Mytilus edulis: one gene and its partner. The protein of the gene in region 1 interacts with the protein of each later gene in a pairwise test. Links are inferred from orthologs where the notes say so. Each region holds a gene or a part of one and is shown in the gene's direction. Other genes may lie near its edges.

Region 1 (9,023 bases):
TTTCAAGCATTATCATAGTTTTACTTATTTACGATGGTCTAGGATAGAAAAAAGAAAACTGTTCTTATGAAGAAATCTATTCAAAAGGTTGGCATCTAAAAAAAAGACAAGTTTTAAAAGAAAAATATAAATTTGTGTTACTTGGCGAAAAAATAATAAAGTCGCGAAAAAATATATTGTTTTGGCGAAAGAGGTGGCGAAAAAAATAATTGACCCAGGGGAAACCCTGCATTACAGTAATACTTGTTTAGCATGTTCAAGTCATGCTGAAGACTGACTATGGGTGTTGCATTTTCTCTACAAAGAACAAGGAAGAAGACCCGACCCGTTCAAGCATGACTGGTGACCTTGGGCTGTTTTCTACTCTTTGAATGGTTGTTGTCTCTTGACACATTCCCTCTTTCCTTTATCTATTCTATTATTTCATGGCTCTTTGAATATAAATATAAGGAGATATAATATGATAACCAATAAAGACAAAAAAAGTAAAATCACAAAATTCTGAACTTAGAGGAAAATCAACTTTCTAATCATGCTAATACAGACCAAAGGTCACTAAATGGCCTTCAACAATATGCAAAAAAAATTCTCACTTTTGGACAATCAGCTATTATACTGAAAAGTTGTTAATCAAATAAATGAAAACTTATTGATAGGAAGTTCATTATTGAAAAATAATTGATATCTTATTTATCTACTGTCACTCCTTTCTCTGTGACATTTATATATCATTGTATAACCATTTATTGTTAGTGTTACTTGGTGCTAATAACATGTGAATTTGATCTGTACTTGTTTGTCGGTTGTATTAACAGTCATGCATGACAGTTGTGATACACCTTATCGCTATTTGTCCGCCATTACTGGATATCACACAGGTTCCCGTAAAATTTTGACGATATAAAACAAAATATCTGACGCCACAATGGAAAAGTGATTGTTGTATGCGTCAAAAGTTCAAGCGAAGGCAAATAGCGATAAGGTGTATTGTAACTACCAAACTGCAGTTTAAAAAATTCAAAATTAATGGGTTTGAAAATACAGTAATCATTATTTTACATTAATCTCATTTTAAAACTGAGGAAATTGAAAGTAAAGAATTATTACATGATCAAAGCTGTCAGGGCCTATAACATACATGAACTGCAGTTGCCCCTCCCTCCCCCTGAAAAAAGGGTGAAGCTTTCCATACATATGTTTGCTTAGAATCATCATGTATGACAGATGGAAATTTCATAACATAAGGTATATGCATACAAGGTATGACTTTTGCGTTTGAAAAGGTTTATACTTGGTTTTCAAAGTTTAAAGTGTCTGTTGAAGTATTAATTATCACCTATTTGAACTAATAATTGTTTAATCAGCAATTCTACAGTGATAAATTTACCATTTGAAAACAATTGAGAGGATATGATTAGAAAAACAAACCCCAAGCTGATCAATACGACTTGAGAAATTCCCTTTCTTGATATCCAGCTTAGATGAAGCCATTTGAATATTATAAAACATTAAGGTCAGAAAAATGAGAAATCATTATGCTAAAAAATGTTAATTTCTTTCAAACGTCGTAAGGTTAACAATACACTGCTACAGTGGGTTACAAAACCAAACACAGAAGCTGACAAATACTTTATTGTTGGTCCTACATGTTCTGCAACATCATCAGGCAGTCTGGTATAGACCCATCATGGAAAAAGACTTCTCCTTGGGTTTTACACACAGATAATATGAGATTATATGAATTTACAATGGAGAAAAAGACTCTTCTTCTATATCCAGACAACAACATTAACAAACAAAGGGGTAACTTCCACGAGCATGATGAGGACATTATTACAAGAGAAAACATCAATAGCATACATGTAATATAAGAAAAACACATAACAAATTAATTACAAACAAACCGTGCACCGCGACAAAGTTACTGAGAATCGTCGAAAATTACCTGCTTACCACAGCGCTATCAAAAAAATCCTGGGGAGAACACTGAATCACATTAAAATTTTAACCAATTTGATGCTTACGGTAGCCGAAAATTATCGTTTTACGACTGACGGTAAAGGGAATTACCACCTCTGAGCTCTCATGAATCGTCAGAGGTCTAATTTAAGAAATTATCAACACCGTAATTTCTGGAAAAAAACATTAATGTGATTCATTATTAAAATTCAGTTGATTTTATATCAAAGAAAGCGTACATTTCAACATAAAATTGAGAATGGAAATGGGGAATGTGTCAAAGAGACAACAACCTGACAATAGAACAGACAACAGCAGAAGGTCACCAACAGGTCATTAATGCAGCGAGAAATTCCTACACATGGATGAAACAAAAAATACTGTACACATCATTTGTCAATTTTTTTTACCGTTATTCTTCAATTAAGGTAGCACAATACAAAGATTTTTTCACTCCCAATCAGACAACTTTAAACTGATGTAATTCATTTTGAACATCCTTCTTTACATTTTATAAATGAGATACCAAAAGAAAGACATGAAAGAAGAAAGATTAATCTTTCAAATTGTGATAATTTCATTATGACATAATTATTACATAATTAATTATTATGTAATTAGTTGCTATATTGTGATGTTCACACTTGAACGAATTTAGCGTCTTTGTTCTTCATAGCATCCCAAAATATTTTACAGATTCTTGTACAGTTTTGGAGGTCAAACTGTGTTGTGCAAGAATCTATAAAGTATTTTGGGATGCTAGGAATAACAAAGAAGCTAAATTCATTCAAGTATGGACATCACAATACCGCAACTAATTACATAACAATTAATTATGTAATAATTATGTCATAATGAAATTATCACAATTTGAAAGATTAATCCTTCTTCTTTCTTTTGGTACCTCATTTATAAAATTTAAAGAAAGATGAGTGGAATTACATCAGTTTAAAGATGTCTGAGTGGGATGAAAAATCTTTGTATTGCGCTACCTTAAGACCGAATCCGGGTCCGTTCGCCCTGATTCACGTTCGCCATACTACGTGTTCGCCCTGATACCTGTTCGCCCAGGGTCCATTCGCCCAGATTTATATTTTTTTCTGTTTGTTGTCCAGTCGCATAATTTTAAGTATTTGAACAAAATATGTTAAAGTTTGTTTACAAATTGACAGAATATTTATATTGCCGCAATCATTTTATAATTTTCTCTTTGATTTACAGAGTAGAATTGGTATGTACAATGTATTTCTCTTTATTGATATTTGTTAACAAAATAATTGTATTCAGTCAATCATGAATGTATGCAGTATAACTGAGACTAGGACTGTCTCTGAGTATAATAATGAACTTGTAAATCCGTTTCATGATTTACAGTTCGTACATCATTGTGTTTATTAATTTCAAGCTGAATATTTTATCAAAACAAAACGTTTGATTTTTATTAATAATCCATCAAAAGACAAGTATCTACTGAAGACATGAAAAACCTCTCCACTTATTTTCGAAAACTCTTGCGACAAATTCAACACCTGCCAGACAGAACTGCAAACGTAGCTTCACATCTTCTTCTTGGACGGATTACCATTGAATCAGAAATACATAAACGAATACTGAAAACCTTTGGAAATATCATAAGAAATGAAAACTCAATTGAAAGAAAATTAGCTATCAGACAGCTAGCAACAAAATCTCTACAATCTGGTAGCTGGTTTACAAAAACTGTTGAAATTGCCAATATATATGACTTACCATCGCCATATGATATTATAGATAACCCACCCGGGAAACAACTTTGGAAAAACCTGGTAAATAAAACCGTCAATGATCACTGTATAAAACAAATGATAAGTGAAGCAAAATCGAAATCTACTCTGTCTCGCCTAAATTATGAAAATGTCAAAGAAGGGAAAATACATAACATATGGAAAAGCTGTGGCACAAATCCATATGCCATCACATCTGCCTCCTTAAAGGCAAAGTTAGCAACAGGGACAATATACCTGCAATATCATCGAGCTAAATTTAGCAATGGACATGTGTCGCCTATTTGCCAGTTATGTGCAGAGGAAGAAGAAGATATACTTCACTTCATATTAAAGTGCTCTAACCTACAATATATAAGAGATGATTTTCTGCATATGATAGGCGAGGTATTGACAGTAAACCTAGAGGATCAGGATCTTATCCAAGAATTAATAACCAATGACGAACATTTGTGTCAGCTAGTTATCGACTGCTCAAAATTTAGATTTTTAAATGAGAATGCACAGAATAGAATAGAAACATTATCGAGAGGTCTGTGTCATAAATTATTCCAGCAACGGGCAATATTAATTGAACAGTGATTAAAAGCGTGTAATACCGAGCTGAAAAGAAGGGTCATACCAAAAGATAGAACATTTTGTTATATATAGTGTATTTACATTTTACCGTTTTTAATATGAAAGAAGCAACTTTTATATTTGAATGATGGATGACTTTTTATGCATACCAGAATAGTGTAAATATTGGTGATAGGGTCACATCCCCCAGAGGAGATAAATTAATATCTCTTTTATAGTTTTAAAGGTTTTATATATCTTTTAAACATAATCTTGAGGATTTTAACCGCGAGTGATATTACACCGATTCTAGGATTGGTGGTTCTCCTGACATAGGAGGGAGTTGCAGTACAGGTAACAGGTAACAGGTATCACAATAATCAGTGATCCGAATTATTTTGTCATTGAACAATTAACGATCCTAAACAAGCCATAAACTTTTAAATATTTCCCTGTTTCCATAAATTTCAAGAATATATATACCATAGAAATATCTGAATAAGATTTTTCAACTTCAATGCCTTGAATATCGATATTTTTTAGTAGGGCGAACGGACTCTCTGGGCGAACGAACTCAGGGCGAACGTACCCAGGGCGAACATGTTATAAGGGCGAACGATCCCGATACCCTTAAGACCCTCATAGGCCTATAGTAACTTGTGAAAAACTTGTGGTCACAGGGAGACAACTCACTTTTAAAAATAATTAATGTCATGATATGGAATAACTGCTTAAAATAAATAAAAGTTTTCATCAAAATCTCAAAGCTGACTATTAAACTAACATTAAATATTAGATGACATCTTCTTATTCGTTGTAGTTTTGTTTTTTTGGCAGTGTTTTCTTACTTTCTTCTTTTGTGGAAATTCTTACGACCAAATTACGGGAGTCGTAAAAGTAGAATTTATACAATATTTAAAATCAGTTATATAGTTTTAAAAGATATTTTTCAATGCTTATCTTTCGAAAATCTAGTATTTCAGTATTTCATGATAAGGTAAAATAAAATTATGAAGTCGTAAATTCTTATTTCCGGTAAATAGATTTTGGCGCTAAATTTTGTAAACAAAAATTTGATACCATGCCAGGAGAAGAAAAAGAGCACGTTTATGATGCAGCTTCATTGCCAGATTTATTGCCCATTTATTACAAAAGACTTTTTCCTTATGGACCATATTTCAAGTGGCTCAACTATGGCGGGGGTATGTTTTTTTTCCAAGGGCACTTCTCTCTGTGTCAATAGGGGTTTCTTCTTATCATATGGTAGGTACGGAAAGTGATTTTTTTAAAATTAACTGATCTAAGAAAACTTTACCTCATTTTAAAGGCATTGTGAAGACATTTTCAAAACAGTTTCACTTTTATCAATACACATAATAACAACGAAGAAATAGCAAATTTTCAAAATGATAATTTTTTACTATTCTGGAAAAACTGTTTCCTCTCTTTAAAAAATAATAAAATATATTTTTTGAATCATTTGGGTTATAATTTTGTTTATATTGCTTCTTTTACATCTTGTTGGTCTATTTCAATCCTCAATATTAAGTTTTTTGGTCAAAATAGATACATAAAGTATGAAAATGTCAACCACTCGCATGAAATTCTATCGTCCAAAGTCACATGATGATACCTTTATATTTTCCTTTTTTCAGAGCATCAGTTGGTATATTGAAAATGTAAAGAAAACTTTATAAACACTTGAATGTAAAGAAACAAAATTTAAATATGAATATTACTCTTTATATACAAATGTATATGTTTGTGTGTGTGTATAAAAAAGAAGATGTGGTATGATTGCCAATGAGACAACTCTCCACAAGAGACCAAATGACACAGAAATTAACAACTATAGGTCACCGTACGGCCTTCAACGATGAGCAAACCTCATACCGCATAGTCAGCTATAAAAGGCCCCGAAATGACAAATGTAAATCAATTTAAACGAGAGAACTAACAGCCTAATATATGTACAAAAAATGAAAGAAAAACAAATATTTAACACATCAACAAACGACAACCACTGAATTACAGGCTCCTGACTTTGGACAGGCACATACATGTACATATAGAATGTGGCGGGGTTAAACATGTTAGCGGGTGCCCAATCTTCCCCCTGACCTGTGACAGTACAACATAAGAACGAACTATAAAAATCAGTTGTACCATGAGAGACCAGAAAGTTTTGAAATATGTCATCTGTCTTTGTATAGTCATAATGGTTTTAGAATGTTCCCTTTTCATTAACATTCTATTTAATGAAATATTCTTATTCTTATATATAGCATGTATAGTGAATGCTAATATAAATAAAAATAAACAACAACCTTCTAACAATTATTTTACAGGACTAAAATACCTGTTGCACTGAAAAACAATGAAAATAATATAACATTATTTTTATTCGAGAAATTTCAAACAAAATAATTATGTCAGATCACTGTAAATACTTGTATGTATACAAGTAAAGTAAATTCATAACTGTATATCAGTTACAATATTTATACAGTGAAATCTGTAAACCAATCTCATTCAGGACTGAAGTTCAAAATGCAATACAGTATTGAATGTGAATAGTATTCCCAGTGAACTGCCGCTACTGCATGGATTCCTATGTATGTTTTTAGTTGAACATGTTGAAAATACATATATTGATTGTTGTTAAACCACATTATTCATTATCCTTACTATCTCGTGTGCAATGGCAAGTGGTTGAACTATCTTTAAATCGCAGTAAACTGGCTGTATAATGCAAAAAAAACTATCTCTGCTGATTTCCAATCAAAACTAAACCAAAAGTTGTCCATGCAAGGGAAATAACTCTGTATACACAAAAAGGAGGGTTATTTATAAAAATTTATTTTGATATGAACACAGCTTTCTAGATTTATTTATTGGACCTAATTATTTAATTAATATATTAAACTTAATAAAAAAGTACATTTTATGACTGTATAACATTCCCTTGTATTTTTTTGAAACGAATGTAACTTTCAAACCCTTGTTTGTACCTCAAATATTTCATCGTATTCCCGAAAATTATAATATACAGAATCATGAATATTCATATAATATCTATCAAAAGCAATCAAAACCTTCTGAGACTTAACAAGTTAATAGAAGGCCGTAATCGGAGGTCACCCAAAGATTTTATTTTTACACACATCTGGGAACAATTATTTAGGGTAATTTGGAGTTATCTCCCATTGGTTTGCCATACCTACATATGGTATCCATGCAGTTACCCATCAGATTTTTGGGATACGATTGCTGTCAAGCAATCTGTAGACTTTTACCATTGACCCTATGATACACTCCCTCACGTCATTCGTTTTATTCTAAACATTCAGCAACATCTCAGATTCTTATGATTGTCTTGCTTTAAAAGGTAAAAACAAGCAAAACAATTGAACATAAACAACTTTCCTGTAATGTTTTACTCATAATCTTCATGTGTGATATTTTCCTTGACTTATATGCATGTTTTTAACAATACGGAAAATCAGAATTAAACAGTATTTATATTTAGTGTTTTTATAAATTTAGAAACACGTCAGAGGGAATTCCCAAATTTTGATAACTTGCGAGAGTTCTCTGAAAGCCGATCGATAATTCTATTTCTGTCACAAGAACTGAAGTGGAGTATTTCTATATTTTACCGTTATGAAACTGATATTTGATACTGTACTCTCATAAAGAAATGGAGAACCATTCATCATATCATTTAATAAACGTTCTTGTTCCAAATTGCAAGTGGCGGTTTGTTTATGTATTTTAAATGCCCATGCGTGGTCTCACTAATTAGAGACAAAAAGAATTGTAGAGACAAAAAGCGTCAAGAAGCGACAAGAAGAATAATATTAGCAACAAGAAACTATTTAGCGACAAGAAAACATTTTTTTATTTATATTTATACTTATTCGAAATAAATATTAAAAAGATATGCAAAAGAAAACAATTTCAACGACAGGAAAATTAATTTTGATAGGGAAAAAAATTAAACTTGTAAATCTAATTCAGTTGCTACATTTATTTACATGATATTTTATATAAGGTATCACAGGAAGTATTACCTTTACCCTGTCGTTTTATGGTATTACTTTTACTTGTGTTTTAGAACAATAATATATTTTGATTTTTATTTGTTTTTAAAACTATTTTTGTACAATATATAATTAACTTGCAAAATGCATTATTTGTGCATAATTGTCCAGAAAATACATATACAAATTGTGAAATACAAATTAAGAACTGAAATCAAATAAGAGGAAAACATAACTAAAACGTGAATATTTTTCATCATTTTATTTAGTGTATTGTCTCATTTAACGATATTTATCATGTTTATGCATATAGATTGAAGATTAAAGGAAACTGATGACAATCTTGAGTTTTCAACAGTCAGGCGTTCACTATTCGGTACAATAATTGTATATTCTGGTGCATGTAATAGATGAAGGTGTTAATGGATGTTATTGTAGCAATTAAACAAAGGACACGCACCTAGTTAATCTCATTTGATGCTCTGAATTGTGTATTACCTTAGAGTGAAGCCACAGCTAATGTTGGTCCTATCAGGACAAATTAATTGTACAGTTAGGAAGGAAATAATATTTCATGTTTTTTTTTTATTAAATCCTTCAAAAGGAAGGTGACAAATCTTTGTTTTTATTTTCATTTTATAGCGTTTACATTTCCTTTGCTCTTACACATGTTTAATTTCTTCATATAAAAAGTGCACAA
Region 2 (9,618 bases), on another chromosome or scaffold:
TAGTTAATTTTTCTCCTACATCAGGCACTCAAGCAACTTGTTTGTTTTCATATAAAAAAAAATAGACTAAATTTTCTGATTAACTTTAACCAAAAATATACATCATTTAAGCAATAATTGCATCAGAATTATTTTTTCAGGTTGAACTTTGCTATTTTAACCATACAAATGTTCAACTGAACAAAAACTTCAAGTTATAACATTGAGTAAAAATTTTCAGACTTGCAATTGTGAAATTAATATGTTTAACCATACAAATGTTCAAGTGAACAAAAAGTCCAAGTTATAACATTGAGTAAAATATTTTAGACTTGCAATGGTTTATTATAAAAGGACATCAAATTTTATCTATTGTTGAAAAGCTCATTGTTCACAATATACTGAAGGTGATAACATGCGACTCCTAAGACAACACATACCTGAGTTTTACCATCAGTAACAGACTGGGGTAGCACTATTGGGAAAGTTTTCCAATGATACAACATACTCTCTGCTAACTGTATAAATAAAAATATTCAATTTGATTTTCTGTGTTATAACGCCATTTTTAAGCACCACTTTTTTATATATTTTGAGGCGGCCAGTTTTTCTAAGTGGAGGAAGCCAGAGTGTCACAAGACCAAAACTTAGAGGTAGGTCATGACAGGCACAACCGTCAGACATTGTGGTTAAATTCATATGACTGAAGTCGATTTAAAGATCATATTGTTGTTCTTCAGTCATGTTTAGTTTAAAATTTGAATAAAGATGTATTAGAACATTAGATTTTGCCACTATTTATCTTATTTATCCTAGTTGGCCCCTTAAATCAGGAAAACTAAATAGAGTATTTAGTATTACACACATGAACGTATTTGGTTCAGAATAAAAATATATAAACCAGTAAGATATATCTTTAATAATTTAATTTTACATTGGGAAGCTTAATATTTCCCGAACAATAGAATGTAATTAAAACGTTCAACTGATTTTACAGAGTTATCTCCCTGTTGTGGTATGTACATCAATAAGTAGAACAAACCTCTTTGATCTGTTTCATCACCTCTGCCATGTCATGAGGAACATTCGACAAATCCAGCGGGAAAGCCAGAGGTTCCTTCTATAACAAATAAATATTTCAAAAATTATATATAAATTGTTGCATATGATCAATTTATTATATAAACATGTACATTTCCTTGCTTTTTACATATAATTGTGAAAGAAATCAAACTTTTCCACAGAATCAATGGCTCTTTGTCAGGTTATTTATTTTTTTGCAAATGAAACATTCATATTGAATATCAATGACTTAATTACTTTTACATTTTCAGCTTTATAATCAGGTTTAATTACAAGCATCTTGAAAAGACAATAGACCATCAATAATTTTTATATATATTAGATCCGATGGATACATCTGTTGTCTTTTGTAGAGTTGTCACTGACTCAGACGTACTTATAAATATAATTATTTTCTGTGACTGTATATTACATTAATTTGTAGGATCCTTTACTATAGATAATTTAGCTGATCTGTAACAATAACATCTTCATGCCTTATATATCATGTACTGTAGTACGCCGCTAGATTAAAACTGACGAGGAAAGGTAACACACGGCCAGCGAAAGCTCTTTTTTTGAGAGCCCAGGTGGTCGTGTGGTCTAGTGGGACGGTGCAGTGCAGGCGATTTGGTGTCACGATATCACAGTAGCATGGGTTCGAATCCCGGCGAGGGAAGAACCAAAAATTTGAGAAAGCAAATTTACAGATCTAACATTGTTGGGTTGATGTTTAGACGAGTTGTATATATATATATATATATATATATATATAAAACAAAATATAATCTTTAAATCAACATGGATTATGGTAATCAAAGCATCGTAGATGTTGTGATCCAGCCAATAGCTTGTCTGACATTTTTTCTGACATTACTTTAATATTTTTATTGTTATTTTCATTTCCATAATCTTTTATACAGTTTCTATTATATTGCCCAAAGATGTAGAAGAGGGCAAATTTTAATATATTGATGCAAATCAATCTGGTATTTCAACTGAAGACACTATCAGAATTACAGAATCAGTGATTCCCTATATAATCCACCAAATTTTCCCCCAAAATAGGGCGGGCTTGGCACCCCAGGGCCCCCTCTAGATCCGCCTTTGTCAATATATATGCTTAAAACTTTTAACAGGAAATATTTTTGAAGTACCAAAAAGAGATATACTTATACTACTGGGAACTACAAGGACTTACTTGAGGGTCCATACTCCTCGTTCTTCTATTAGGTTCAACTTCAGTCATACCTCCTGCCGTCCTTTACATGTATTTCATCTTAGTTAAATAAAAAAATACCTAAAAAAAATTCAAAAATCATATTAAAAAGCATAAATACCATAACCATCAACTCGACAGCTTATAACACTAATTTTTGTGAAAAGAAAAACAAAAATTGGTATCCAACCAATGTAATGAATATAAGCTAGGAATCCACAGTACTATATCTGCAAGAAGAGCAGAAGCATTGCAGAATTTGTATTCCTACTAAATTATTGCGTGCATTTATTACTGCAATTTTGCAATTTTAGACTAAAAATGCAATTTGAATTTTTGCGGTATTGAGGAAAAATCCTATTTAATTCATATAAAAAATTTCATAATGAATTATTGCAATTATTACCCTGTTGCATTTTTGCAACAATAAAAATGCTGCGATAATTTTTGAATTTACAGTATTAGAATTAGAATTTCCTCATGTATAGTTAACATAAAAAAAAGAAGATGTGGTATGATTGCATACGAAACAATAATCCAACCAACAGCCTGATTTATATAGAAAACAACACAGCAAACATTGCTTAACATGCTCCCAAAGGCAGTAATAATGGTAAAGTGGTCGATATTATGCTACACTACAGTTTTAAAATTTAAACAAAACTCAGACAGCATGGGGAAAGAGTTCTTCTTTTCTTTATGCCTAGGTCACACATTATGAATCACCTCGCCAGATTCACTACGGATTAAATCTCACGGATGATCCCAGAAAGTTGTTTCCGTAGTCTGATAGGAACCGGTACGGATGCACAATGGTATAACTACAGGTTTTGTACCACGAATAATGAAGGACAGGTTCATTTTGGCAACATGAGTGATACAGGCTCTTATGGTAAGACATGGTTTATTACAGATATGACACAGTTTAGTATGCAACAACACGTGACCAGACTTATGTACTGCAATAGACAGCGGTTTGTTACGGTACAAGAAAGGCTTAGTACAAATGAGAAGGGTCTGATATGGGATAGTACAAACCAATAAGAAGGTTTGTGATACTTTATTTTTTTATCATCTATAGCAGTTTAACGTAGATTATTTTTTGTTGTTGTCAGATAAATTATTTTAGATCTGTCTGAACCATGTGATGTTCTTTGTACTGGCCATGGATAGGGAAATCAGTCCCTAGTCCACAATCATGATCTACTCTGCCTCCAATCACCTCTACATGATCTGTCACCAAGTTCCTCGACCACTGCCCTGTCATTTTGTGCCATATCAATGCCCAAATGCCAGTAATTATCTACAAGCAGCAGTTGTTGTATATTCATGTTGGTTAATGCTATGTATACCTCAAGGACAAGAGACAGAATAAGTTGGGGACTAAAACAGATCAGTATGATCTTAGACGGTTTAGTAGGGATATTATAACTACTGTCGTTTGATCCTTGGTAAAATTTTGAACATGTTCAAAATTTGTCAAGGATACATGTATACAAGTACTTCAACATATAACTACGGATACAATACAGAAATCGTCGCACTAATAAAGATTGCCTCGAATGATGCCGGTTCATATCCATAGCTAATATGGCGTAAATTCCGTCAATGTGTGACCTAGGCATTAAAATAAAAATAAAAAAATCTTCTTCAAGAGGCAATTGAGTTTATGTGAATTTGTATCTGAGAAGCATACATTATTTCCCTCAAATAAGTCATTTCTGGAATCATGTCTCTCACCTAAAAAGGTCGTTAATTTTGCAGGCTTTTATGACGTCATTTATCAGTATCCCTGCTCTATTTAAAGTTTCCAGCACTTTTATATTTTATCCTTCTGTAGGGTAGTATAGAATTTATCAATGTGTCCGTAAGTACATGTATGTAGTCGTGATTGTCGTACTACTGGGGTAGGGTGACAATCTTAGTAGATTTTAATTTCCCAAATATTTTGTGCAGTATAAAATAAAACTTTTTCACCCCTTTGCTCAACATGTGTTGGAAATGACTATTCATACATTTTTGTCTTGTGGTGATGGAAGTCACATGGCAGATTCATCTAAAAACCGTATCCAAGAACTTGCCTATTCTATTGCCCATATACACCTTATCGTTATTTGTCTGCCATTACTGGATATCACACAGGTTCCCGTAAAATTTTGACGTCACACAACAAAACATCTGACGCCACAATGGAAAAGTGATTGTTGTATGCGTCAAATGTTCAAGTGGCCGGTTAAGCCGGGATTAGCAATAAGGTGTACATTGGTTCATGATATTGATAACCTAAAAGTTGAATAATAAAACAAAAACATACATCCTTAAGCTTTCGTTAATAAGGAGCTCATCGCGTACCACATGTTAGTTGCATTTACTAAGTTTTTGACTTTGATATGTTTTACTACAGAAAATAGTTGGAAAGGGAGTTAACCTCTACAGTTGGAAAAAAATTGTGAGAATGATCATGATTTCATAATTTTCCTAGGTGTTTTGAACATTGACGTATAACTAAAAGTGAAAATCTGTGCGACTTTTATATGCAATAGAACCTTAACATTTATTCAAGTGGTATATGTTCTTGACTTGACTCAATAAACTATCTAAATTCAAGACCTAGTGGTATTAGCTAAAAAGTCTTCTCGGTTCAGCTCAATTCTGATAGTCTCGGGTTTTTTCTATAAAATCGAGAATTTCTATCTCAACTTCCTTTTCCGGTTTATATATCACGTCGGTACCAATGCTTAAAATTTGTCTCTTTTAAATCCCAAATAATCATTGAGAAATATAAGTTTTTAATTGAAATCGGTGTTGGAAACATTATTTTAAAGCATGTTGATATGAAATATATTTACTTAAATTGAAAATATTTTCTGATTAGTTGAATAAGTGTGTTTTTCGTACCATGGTTCATTCCATCAACATTAAGATGGCTTTATTCCATATTTTAACTGTATGTTTGCTGGTTATAGTAAGATGTTGAACGAAAATTATAATTAATGTGTAAATAGGCTGAGCACAACATGGCAAATGAAAATACTTCCTCGACATTATCCATGAATGAATGCGACGCATACTAAATTTGGTTTATGCACGATTGTGAAATATTTCATCAGATTTTATTACTAGTTTATGGGTTGTGTAACAAAAACCTTTCTTCAGTAGTGTCAGACGAAAATATATTCTAGGTTCAAGAATATGTGCTGTCCGGAGAGACACATTTTTAAAAATTAAGGTCCCAAGCCCACGAATCTGGTAATACAATAGGTATTACACTTAAGACCAGATACCCCCCCCCCCAAAAAAAACCCTGGCTTCAAAAAATGTTTGAAATATACGGCATAATATGGTTCCTACACATAATCGTGTCTCATCTAACCTGTGGTATACCAATGAGATAGTAGGTTATTCTTGGGTATCACGATTTCTAAGGAAATACAAGAACAACGTAATATACGTAATATCCCAAAGACAAACTGATAAATATCCCGATAAGACTTTTTATGGTGTTATACTGTGTTAAATTAGTGTAATCACATACAATTACGAAATAATGTACAAGGTTTTAGGCGTTCATAATTAATAAAAGTATACGCAATCTTCAGAAAATCGATATATTTAGTAAACAAAACCTACAAATCAAATTCTTGAAGTGAAATTGCACTTTTATGGGTTTAAACAAGTAATATCTTTAATTAATATTCTTTTATATTTTTAGTATATTTATAAGAAGTATAACACCATAAAAAAGTAGCATAACACCATAAAAAATATTTTTATTGGGTTATATCAGTTTGTCTTTGGGATATTTTAAAGGTTCTTGTATTTCTCAGGAAATCGTGCTACTGGTTATTCTTAAAATGTTTGACAAATGGGTTTGATTTTTTTTTACACCTCAAAACTTGTGGAAATTTCCCTAACACTAACAGTCAAACTCGCACCCATTCAGCTGTAGAAGGTTGATAAGTAATGACACCCCCCCACAGGACTCTTAAACACAAAATGTATTTATCTAAATGTGCTGCATGGTCATAAAACTTTTTAAGTCATACATGTTTGTCTACTCAGAGTTGCCTTTCTTTTGTACAGTTTAAATCTAGTTGGGGTTCTGATTTTATTTTGTTCTGCAAACTTTAAAGCTTTTAGAGAAATAACCACATTATCTCAATTTGAAAGATAAATTTACTGCATTTCTGTTGTCATTTGCGATGAAAGAAAAAGTGATATTTTTTTTTTTAATTCTAAAAATGATTCTTATATTTAAACAGCAATGGCGGACGCACCTGCAGCAGCACCAGCCGGTGGTAGAGGAGGCGGTGATAGAGGAGGATTCAGAGGTGGTTTTGGGTCAGGAGAACGTGGTAGGGGTAGAGGAAGAGGGCGTGGACGTGGTCGTGGAAGAGGTAGAGGTCGTGGAAATAAAGATGGGGATAAGGAATGGATGCCAGTAACCAAACTGGGACGTCTTGTCAAAGACATGAAGATCAAGTCTCTAGAAGAAATTTACCTGTTTTCTTTGCCTATTAAGGTTTGTATCTAATAATCATGTACAAAAGGGGGCTGCACATTATTTAATATACGTTGGTCAATATGTGTGTGTGATAAATAGGAAACCTTCAATGAAGAAACAGTTATTGTAGCAACTTGTTCATTTAATTGTGAGATTTCAGAGGTTTTTGAAATATAAAAATTCTTCAATTGTACATGTACATCAAATCTACTTGCACTGAAATATTTTTACTTTCAGAGAACTGTTGCCTAGGATTCTTTGTACCAGCTGGTACATTAACATCCCTGAATTGTCATACATGTATTTATTTTTTAATCCAGGAAAATGGGCTATATCTTACTTTCATTTGATTTTTTTTATCCAGGAATGTGAAATCATTGATTTCTTCTTCCCAAGTACACTCAAGGATGAAGTATTGAAGATTATGCCTGTACAGAAACAGACCAGAGCCGGACAAAGAACAAGGTTCAAGGTAAGGTCATTTATTTAACACAACTGAACAAATAGTTACCCAGATATATGGTTTGCATATCATATAAAGATTAGACGTTGTAAGAGTCTGGAATTAAAATGACCAAAGAAATTATTGATCCATTATATTCAACACTTGTCCTAATCCTAAATTATCTAAATCTTTAAATTCAAAAATATCTCTTCATTAATCCAGTTGAACCTTGAGATATTTAATGTCACAATTTTTTTCTTCTTTTAGATTATGCTCTCCATGAAACTGTTCATAAGACATCAAGGAATTCAAATGTATATTATCTGTTGTCTAAAAGTAATAAACAACCTGAAGGGGATGGGAGACATTTAAATATTTGATATTTATTACAGGCTTTTGTTGCTATTGGAGATCACAACGGTCATGTTGGTTTGGGAGTAAAATGCTCCAAGGAAGTGGCAACAGCTATTAGGGGAGCCATCATCTTGGCTAAATTGTCTGTCATTCCTGTCAGGAGAGGATATTGGGGTAACAAGATCGGTAAACCCCATACCGTACCATGTAAGGTAGGTTGTGTAGACCTTAAAAAGGCATTTGACTCTGTGATCCACCCTGCCCTTTTATTAAAGCTTGCAAAAGCTGGTATTGGTGGGAAATATCTATCTATTCTACAATCCATGTATACAAATATTGGATTAAGGGTAAAACTTAACAATGAAAGTATAACCGAAGCCTTTCCTTCAAATATTGGTGTTTTTCAGGGAGACAACCTTAGTCCTAACCTGTTCAATGTATTTATCAATGATATCACCAAGATATTTGATTGCTCCTGTTCACCAGTTTCTATGGGAACTAAATCTATTAACTGTCTGCTATATGCCGATGATTTATTGTTGATGTCAGAAACTAAAGAGGGTCTTCAAAATAGCATGAATAAAGTGTTTGAATATTGTAATGAGTGGGGACTTGGCATCAACTATCGGAAATCAAAAGTACTTATATTCAATAAGGGAAGTAGAATTCCTAAAGTTAATTTCTACATTGGTGAATCAGAAATAGAAATTGTAAAACAATACAAGTATCTTGGTGTTATATTTACTGCAAATGGTAGTTTTAATAATGCGCTAAAGGACCTATACACCCGAGGCCAAAAAGCTTTTTTCAAAATAACTAATGTATTTAAAAATATGTCTTGTGATGCAGAAAATTTTTTGTATGTATTTGACCATACTGTCAAACCTGTACTTTTATATGCATCCGAGATAGTGGGGATGTTTAAACCCTCTTTAGATGATAACTTATTTGAAAAAGTTTATAAATATCTCCCATTGGAGAAACTTAATTTGTCTTTATGTAGATATATTTTATCAGTTAATAAAAAGACAAGCAAACTGGCCTTGTATGGTGAATTAGGTCGATATCCAATTTATATTGATATTGTTTCGTCTATGTTAAAATATTGGACTAGACTTGAAAATGATAAAACAGGTGATAAACTTTTATCTCATGCACTTGCAGAGAATCTACTCATGATTGAAAATAATCAAAATTGCTGGTTAAGCTCAATAAAAAATATTCTCAAGAAATTTAATATGTTCAACTCTAATGAGTCAGAATTAACTCAATTACATGTTTCTATGAAAAATGGTGATATCCAAAGGATAATAAAATCTACTAAAAGTAAGTTTGAATCTAGATGGTTTCAACAACTTCAAACCAGTGAGAAACTGAGAACATATAGAACTTTCAAAAACATTTTCAAATTTGAAAATTATCTTGTTAATATTTGTAACGAAAATGATAAATATAACATGAGTAGATATAGAACCAGCAATCATAGACTGCAAATTGAATTGGGTAGATATACAATACCAAAAACACCTGTTAATGACAGAACATGTAAGAACTGTTCCTCTTGTGAAGTAGAAGATGAAAAACACATTTTATTAGATTGCCAAAAATATTTTACTATTAGGCAAACCTATATAGACATTTGCTATAATAAGAATAGTTCAAAACTGAACACAGATAACAAATTTATTTGGCTTATGAGTAATGAACATGCCAATGTATGTAGAAATATATCTAGATTTCTAAGTTTGAGTATATTTTACAAAACTGATAGCAAAGCAACAGAAAAATTATCATCTTAGTGTTCTGTCATATATATATATATATATTTGTTGTATGGATATGGTAACTTAATAGAGTATTTACATAAGAACAGGGTTGTCTCCCTTGATATTTATCATACCATATAATATAATATTTCCTTTTTTATGTGTGTATTAGATCTCTTTGTCAGCTATAACTCTTTCTCAATATTTATGTACATATGCATTTATATTGTTCATTTTATGCTCTTTGTGAGTTTTCTTGAATAAATAATTTGAATTTGTAGTTAGCATC

Evidence for each region.
Region 2: the proteins of DNA primase small subunit-like (region 1) and small ribosomal subunit protein uS5 interact in a two-hybrid assay, tested with the Caenorhabditis elegans proteins (2 studies listed by BioGRID). The link is inferred for Mytilus edulis from reciprocal best matches to the Caenorhabditis elegans genes pri-1 and rps-2.

The regions. Positions count from the first base shown.
Region 1 is NC_092357.1:7,813,873-7,822,895, forward strand, and holds the start of DNA primase small subunit-like, read left to right. Parts: upstream 1-5,311; 5' UTR 5,312-5,361; coding exon 5,362-5,482; intron 5,483-9,023. UniProt on the Caenorhabditis elegans protein: DNA primase is the polymerase that synthesizes small RNA primers for the Okazaki fragments made during discontinuous DNA replication.
Region 2 is NC_092352.1:58,050,461-58,060,078, reverse strand, and holds the start of small ribosomal subunit protein uS5, read left to right. Parts: upstream 1-5,583; 5' UTR 5,584-6,524; coding exon 6,525-6,782; intron 6,783-7,128; coding exon 7,129-7,236; intron 7,237-7,601; coding exon 7,602-7,775; intron 7,776-9,618. Other genes in the region: uncharacterized protein, read right to left, coding at 420-497, 1,022-1,099, 2,243-2,290. UniProt on the Caenorhabditis elegans protein: Component of the ribosome, a large ribonucleoprotein complex responsible for the synthesis of proteins in the cell.